Xenopus tropicalis: one gene and its partner. The protein of the gene in region 1 interacts with the protein of each later gene in a pairwise test. Links are inferred from orthologs where the notes say so. Each region holds a gene or a part of one and is shown in the gene's direction. Other genes may lie near its edges.

What was found.
Region 2: the proteins of sec22a (region 1) and sftpc interact in binary tests that used the Homo sapiens proteins (3 or more experiments, as listed by UniProt). The two-hybrid records come from large-scale screens. The link is inferred for Xenopus tropicalis from reciprocal best matches to the Homo sapiens genes SEC22A and SFTPC.

The regions. Positions count from the first base shown.
Region 1 is NC_030685.2:88,985,772-88,989,472, forward strand, and holds the end of sec22a (vesicle-trafficking protein SEC22a), read left to right. Parts: intron 1-1,884; coding exon 1,885-1,947; intron 1,948-2,633; coding exon 2,634-2,834; 3' UTR 2,835-3,007; downstream 3,008-3,701. UniProt on the Homo sapiens protein: May be involved in vesicle transport between the ER and the Golgi complex.
Region 2 is NC_030679.2:129,600,084-129,604,615, forward strand, and holds the start of sftpc (pulmonary surfactant-associated protein C proprotein), read left to right. Parts: upstream 1-1,515; 5' UTR 1,516-1,526; coding exon 1,527-1,565; intron 1,566-2,676; coding exon 2,677-2,826; intron 2,827-4,532. UniProt on the Homo sapiens protein: Pulmonary surfactant associated proteins promote alveolar stability by lowering the surface tension at the air-liquid interface in the peripheral air spaces.

The DNA.
Region 1 (3,701 bases):
GTCTCTCCCCCCCCCTCTGGCGTGTGTCACATAAGCTAAATGCACTCTATTCCCTTTCCCTCCTGTCTCTTTCCTGTCACATCAGCTTAATGCACTGAGATTTCCTTTCTGCATGAGCGGCTGCAACTGTCTGTCTGCAGTCTCTGTCTGCCTGTCTCTGTCTGTCTTTCAGTCTTGGTCTCTGTCTAAGGGTCTCGGTCTCTTGTCCGACGGTCAGTCTGTCCGTCTGTCCGACGGTCAGTCTGTCCGTCTGTCCGACGGTCTCTCTGTCTGTCCGACGGTCTCTCTGTCTGTCTTTCTGTCTGTCCGACGGTCTCTCTGTCTGTCCGACGGTCTCTCTGTCTTTCTGTCTGTCCGACGGTCTCGGTCTCTCTGTCTGACGGTCTCTTGTCCGTCGGTCTCTCGGTCTGTCTGTCAGGCCCCCTGGGGTAACTTGGCAGCGGCCCCCTGGGGCTGATGGTGTAGTTTTGCTGCCTGAATGTCAGAAATAGGGGGTCTCTCTGCAGCTTTCAAATGGGGGTCACTGACCCCGGCAGCCAAACCCTATTGCTCTGTGAGGCTCCAGTTTTATTGTTATTGTTACTTTTTATTCCTTATCTTTCTATTCAGCCCCTCCCCTATTCATATATCTCATTGGTTGCTAAGGTATCTTGGACCCTAGCAACCAACTGTCTGCTGAAACTTCAACCTGCAGAGCTGCTGAATTGAAAATAAAATAACTAAAAAACTACAAATAATAAAAACTAAAGACCAACTGCAAACAAAGATATTGTTACATCACCGCAATCTACAACTTCATAAAACGGGAGTTTCCCTTTAAAAAAAAAAAAAACAACCCCACAAAGATGAAGTAAATGTAATTGAATTCCCGATATTCGGGCTCCCGGGCCCCGCTGCACGGCACTTAATGGCAGTTTATGAGTAAATAAAGTTTATTGCTAAATCTTTTAATCTAAACTGCCAGTTTCAGGCACTGAGTGGGGAAGGTGCCTGTGTGTGGAGGTGCCACAGTGGCCCCTAGTGGCCGGGCTGCGATATTACAGACGCTCTCATTGGCAGCTTAGGCAATTCTGATTTTTGGGTTTGATTTTGCTCAGATATCTGTCCCTTGGGATCTCATCTTTGTCTCTTACCCAGCAGCACTCTCTGTGCTGCCGGCGCTCTCACTCTCTACTGCCGACACCCTCTGCGCTGCCGGCGCTCTCTCGCTCTCTGTGCTGCCGGCGCTCTCACTCTCTACTGCCGTCACCCTCTGCGCTGCCGGCGCTCTCTCGCTCTCTGCGCTGCCGGCGCTCTCTCGCTCTCTCTGCGCTGCCGGCGCTCTCTCGCTCTCTCTGCGCTGCCGGCGCTCTCTCGCTCTCTCTGCGCTGCCGGCGCTCTCTCGCTCTCTCTGCGCTGCCGGCGCTCTCTCGCTCTCTCTGCGCTGCCGGCGCTCTCTCGCTCTCTCTGCGCTGCCGGCGCTCTCTCGCTCTCTCTGCGCTGCCGGCGCTCTCTCGCTCTCTCTGCGCTGCCGGCGCTCTCTTTACATTTCTTTCTAAAGTTATGGAGTTTGTGGGGTCAGCGGTATATGGTTATTACTTCATTTCCATCTGCCAGACTGTCATTCTCACCAATACCTGGTTACCAGGGCATGTGTGACCCTAGCAACCAGATGAACGTTTAAAGGAGACATATTGGATAAAGGAAACCCCTAACCCTGTAGGCAATTATGAATAATATCCGGTGCTGGTTTCCCTTTGGGCTAAACATTAACCCTATCTGTAACAATGGCCCCTTTATTGGAGCTCCCTATAGATCCTCTCAGGTCCCTGTCTGGGTTTCACATGAGGGGTGGGCGTGTCCTAACACCCCCCCAAATTCACTTTCTTTAACAATATTTTGCAGAATGACGACGATTTGAACTGCGTTATTGCTTTCTTCTTGGGAACCGCAGCCTGTATGTACCAGGTAAGTGCCCCCCCCCCCCCCCCAGTCATTCCGACTCCTGAATTCCACCCTATACCCAGCGCAGTGGGGCCCCCCTGACTCCTGAATTCCACCCTATACCCAGCGCAGTGGGGCCCCCCTGACTCCTGAATTGCACCCTATACCCAGCGCAGTGGGGCCCCCCTGACTCCTGAATTCCACCCTATACCCAGCGCAGTGGGGCCCCCCTGACTCCTGAATTCCACCCTATACCCAGTGCAGTGGGGCCCCCCTGACTCCTGAATTCCACCCTATGCCCAGCGCAGTGGGGCCCCCCTGACTCCTGAATTCCACCCGATACCCAGCGCAGTGGGGCCCCCCTGACTCCTGAATTCCACCTGATACCCAGGGCAGTGGGGCCCCCCTGACTCCTGAATTCCACCTGGGAAACTAAGAATATTCCTAAATGCCCCCCCAAGTCAGGTTAAAATTAAATACAAAATAAAAGACCAATTGCAAATCATATTAAAGGGGAACATCCCCTGGGGGTTGGAAGTGCTCCCCCTGCTGGGGAGACCATGGTGCTGATTGGATCAGAATGGACCCAGTTGGCCGGGGGTTGGGCCCAATCTGGTGCTGATACAGGAGGGCTCCCATTGGCTCTGCTTCTTACTCTCGAGTCCCGTTGGGTTGGGCCTGTGGGTAATTCTGTCCCGTTGCCCCCGCAGTGCTACCTGTTTGCCCACAGTACCAGCTGGAGGAACACCAAGTCCTTCCTGGCGTTTGGGCTGATCTGCCTGTGTAACCTGTACCTGCACGACCTGCGCTCCCTCCTGCAGCTCCTCTTCCACGTCAGCGCCGGCGCCTTCATCACCCTCCAGATCCGACTGCGCCAGCCGCTGAGCAAGTCTCCCGACTATAACGTGTGACTGGGCCGGAACCGGCACTGCTGGGCCCCCGCACCCGAACCTCTGGGGTACGGCACATTCCTCCCCTCCCCCAGGGATTTTACCTCAATGTTCCTTTAGCAAAGACTCACTTTGTGTTATTGCCTTTGTAAGGCAGCGATACTGTCTGTATAATAAACCCTGACTCCGGGGCCCTCCTGCTGTCCCGTCTGCCTTCCTCTGCTACTGGGGGGATTGGATTCACTTACCCAGGGGGGAGGTTCCTGCCTGACCATGGGAAAGAGAGCAGCCCAGGAGCAGGAAGTACAGAGAATCAGAGCTCTGTACCTGGGTAAGTACTGGGGGGAGATTGGATTCACTTACCCAGGGGGAGGTTCCTACCTGACCATGGGAAAGAGAGCAGCCCAGGAGCAGGAAGTACAGAGAATCAGAGCTCTGTACCTGGGTAAGTACTGGGGGGAGATTGGATTCACTTACCCAGGGGGAGGTTCCTGCCTGACCATGGGAAAGAGAGCAGCCCAGGAGCAGGAAGTACAGAGAATCAGAGCTCTGTACCTGGGTAAGTACTGGGGGGAGATTGGATTCACTTACCCAGGGGGAGGTTCCTACCTGACCATGGGAAAGAGAGCAGCCCAGGAGCAGGAAGTACAGAGAATCAGAGCTCTGTACCTGGGTAAGTACTGGGGGGAGATTGGATTCACTTACCCAGGGGGAGGTTCCTGCCTGACCATGGGAAAGAGAGCAGCCCAGGAGCAGGAAGTACAGAGAATCAGAGCTCTGTACCTGGGTAAGTACTGGGGGGGAGATTGGATTCACTTACCCAGGGGGGGGTGGGTTCCTGCCTGACCATGGGAAAGAGAGCAGCCCAGGAGCAGGAAGTACAGAGAA
Region 2 (4,532 bases), on another chromosome or scaffold:
ACATGTTATGTTAGTCCACTACTGAGGAGTGTTTATGAGAGATGTTCATGTTGTAATTAAGATTTAGAATGATTTAGATATCGGTTTTCAAGGCAGGTAAAGCTGCAGTCATCAGGAAAATGCAAGTCTAAGCCTCTGGGTGCTGAAAGTGGGTCCAGGTGCAGAGTATGGAAAACATTGTGGCTTATGCCTGCTTTTTGCACTTTGCACCTTGCCCTGTTGGTTTGTAAATGAGACCTAATGGGTGCTCTTACCACATTATACAGTTATCCATCCCACCTAGTTGAAGGCCCAGTGTGCTATATCATGGCCACTTACAATTCACACTGGTCTATATATTAGTATTGTCTACTATGCAGAGCTAAAGCCCAGAGGCTACTAGACACACTCTTATTAGACTAGACACACTCTTACAGACGCCATATGTTGTCCAGAAGACCAAGCCATGTGTTCATAAATTATTCCACCAGATGACACTCCGTATATGCTTGGTTCCACACAAGGCCATTAACTATTATCTGGTCAAATTAGCCCTTCATATTCTTGTGAAAACATTTTTACTATGTTGGTGGACTCTGTAACTGTAACCAGAACCATAACTAAAACATGAACATGGTGGCGAAGTGAGGTGGTGATTTCCTCCAAGATCTATAGGGCCAGAAGTATATACTGTATGTGCCACCTATGCCTGGTATGCATGCTGCCATGACTTAAAGCAGCAAATAATCTATTTTCTGTTGGACCACTACTTGACATTGGTATGTGGCTGTGACTGTTGGATACATGATTGCACCTTTACTGGCTAATGGGTCATACTGGTCCATTTGATCCTCTTCCAGTCCTACCTGTGCCCTTCTCAAGCAATTGCCCTATGTTACAGAATTTATAACAACATTGTCAAAATAGCAAAACAGGTTCATCTTCCTGGAGTACACAACTTGGTTCTCATGTTCTGTGGATTACAGGATCTATGGCTGCACCTGGGACTTCTGGCTCGTGGTCAAAGGTTCTCCAGCACTAAAACCAGGGAACATTTGGAAGAAGCCTGGGGAAAATTCTTGCAGAGGGTACTACAAACAGTCTGCTAAACATCTTTGTTGAATTGCACAAACTGTGTTGAAAGACTTAATTTGTGCATGAGAATGAAATACGATTCCCACTCTAAAGGAAGGTGAATTAGAAGACTGGGATTAATGCACTTTATTAATTTTATAAATATTGCAGTAGGTTTGACATTTCTCTGTAAAGCGTGGTGCAAAATGGGCAGCAATTACAGCAATCTTAAATCTAAATATAATAATTTGAATATAATGTTGAAACCCTGTGCAGACTGTGCCAATAAAGCGTCAATTATTAAAGCCTCTTAAAGCCCTAAGAAGTGCTTCTGTTCTTTAAACACAAGTAGAGTATGCGCAAACACTCAGAAAAGGGGCGGGAAACACTTCAATGCTATTATTCTTATTCAGGCAGGTATAAAAAGTGGACCAACCTCAGCAAAGGTAGACTGCTGCATTACCCACAAAGACATGGACCAGAGCAAAGCTGTCCTCATGGAGAGGCCACCCGTAAGTAACATGGGTGTGTTAACTTGGAAACACTCTGCAGATTGTGCGTCAGACCCTAGTGGGTCTATTAGAGCAACAATGTAAGGAGTGTGATGTAAAAATGCTTTACACTGTGCAACAGTAGAATCAGTAGAAGCAGCTCTCACAGGTCTATTAACCTTACTGGGACTCATTTATCAACACTGGGCAAATTTGTCCATAGGCAGTAGCCCATAGCAACCAATCAGTGATTGGCTTTTTTCAGCCAGTTGCAGCAACAATTTAATTGGTTGCTGTGGGTCACTGTGCATGGGCAACTTTGCCCAATGTTGATAAATTAACCATATCTGATGGCATGGTTTTCAGATCAGTGGGGACAGAAAAAAAAAAGGAATATCTGTATGGATTGAGGATAAAGGTTGAGCTCTACAACTCTACAATGGATAAAAGTGAATATAGACCACTGAATGTTGCATCACTGGGGTCTAAATACATCTATTATTGCTACTAAAGAGCAGTGTCAGACTGGCCCATTAGGATACCAGGAAAACTCCCGGTGGGCCCAGGTGTCAGTGGGCCCTTCTGCTCCTGACCATTTGGTCTGTTTCATGCTCATTCCCTATTTCTGAATGGGTACAAAGAGGAGAAATAGATGGAAGAATAGATGCTAGCATGTAAATAAAAGAGACTAGGAGAATAAAGAGGTTGGGTGAGGAAAGAAGGAAAAATAGTTTGGAAAGCGGGCCTAGGGTCTAAGGATTTCTGGTGGGCCCCTGTGTTCCCAGTCTGACACTGTGCTTGTATCTAGGGTTGGGGGGTCCAAACTGAGCCAATCAGGTTAGATGGGGTATCCATAGCCTGATGTGGTTCTTATCAGTCTTTCTGATCAATATATGTCTGTATGGATGTCAGGGTTGAACCTGACCCTTGCCGGCACTCCCCCTGCCGACCGCTCCTCCCCTGATGCGTTAAATTACGTGCGATCGGTGGAGGCCGTCGGGTGGGGGCCCCTGCGGGGGGGAATTAGGGTGGGAACCTGGTGGGCCCTTCACCCCCCAGTCCGACCCTGCTAAAGAGAAGCTTTGGAAGAAACACCAACTTGACTGTATCTAACACCCTACTGTCTTTGCAGGTCTATTCGGAGTTGCCAATTCCCAGCATCCCATGTCTCGGTGGTGTTAAGAAGCTTGTCTGCGTGGTCCTTGTGGTGGTGGTCCTTGTGCTTGTCCTTGTTGGAGTCCTACTGATGGGGCTGCACATGAGTCAAAAACACACAGAAACGGTGAGACTTTGAATTTTACAACAAATTGCATGATCACATTTAAAAAACACAGCGTGTAATCAATAGATTAGCCTGCAAAAATATCTCCTTGTTAATAAAGGGGTTTCACTTGTGTCTGTAAGCTGGTCACACACTCAACCACCAATTAGTACTTTAGTGAGCCCAGAACAAAAAGAACAAAGTATCTGATTTTGATCAATGGATGGGTAATTAGTGTTACTCAATCATAAGCCAGTTACAAAGGGATATACAAATCCGAGCAGAAGATAGGAGATCATAATTTAAATGAAAAAAAATATCCTCTTTTTAATTAATTATACAATTTATTGTTAATGAGCAGACTAATATATGTGTGTCCTGTGTAATGAATAGATTAATGAACAAAACAGCAAATCCAGAAAAATTAGCACATGCCTGTAAGAAACAGCCCCGCTAATTAAAAAGGCCGGATTAATTAGCAGGCAGTTCATTATAGAGCAGAAAGCCCTTATATAAAGAAATGACCCCACTAATGAGAAGAGCCGAGACGAATAAGGACACTGCCTCATATAAAGACTGATCACGTTATTCAGCTGCCTATGTAATGGGCAATCCCAGCCTCATTTATTGAGCAGAATCCTAATTAGTCAATAATATGTCAGAGTAAGGATGATGCTAATTAATGAACAATCCTGGGGACACAGATACATTTAGAACTCCAGTTAGTTTCCCATAGTCTGATTTTTAGAATTCAGATGATTTAGCCTCACAGTAAATGAACCTTAAATGGAATGTTCTCCTGAATAACCCACTTACTTGTCACTACCAATCAAACAAGCAGTTTCTTTCCACCCCATTACTGGGGTGGTGTCTCGGTTAATTACTATATGCAGGGCAGCATGCAAAGTACAAAAAATGGGGTACGATCATGTGCTCTGCATGTAGGTAAATTGCCACAGGTATCTACACTCTATACCGTAGTGCAGAGACCTGTGTTGGCCCATGAATACAGCACTACCTTCACTCAGCAGTGCTGTATTCATGAGGTGTGGGCAAGGGAGGCATGAAGATGTCCCCCAACCTGTCCCCTAACTTGCATTTTCCCTTAACTTACGCACTCTTGCATCCCCTTTGTGCTCTTGCATTTGTGTCTAGGGTCTCAGCTAATGATTCCTAATGTCTCAAGTCCAACAGCTAAACATAAAAAACTTCATTCACAGACCCATAGCTACATGTAATAGGCAGTGAATAAATAGAACAGGGATTGGTAACTTATAGGTCAAGAGGACCCAGAAATTGGTTCCTATCCTGTTTAGGGTAGGTCCCCATGTTTCCCTTTAATAATGTAAAGACAATACAATACTAAATAGTAATTATAATAAATGAAGTATATTACTTAAGATCAATTAAAGGGGCATGAAGCTAATTTGCTAGTTAATTTTCAGTCCCCTGTTAAGCAGTTCAAGAGCCACTAATTTTAGCGCCTAGTAACCCTTCCCTAGGTGCAGAGAGAGAGGCAACTGACCCCCAGAGAGAGAGAGGCTACTGACCCCCAGGGAGAGAGCGAGGCTACTGACCCCCAGGGAGAGAGCGAGGCTACTGACTCCCAGGGAGAGAGCGAGGCTACTGACTCCCAGGGAGAGAGCGAGGCTACTGACTCCCAGGGAGAGAGCGAGGCTACTGACTCCCAGGGAGAGAGCGAGGCTACTGACTCCCAGGGAGAGAGC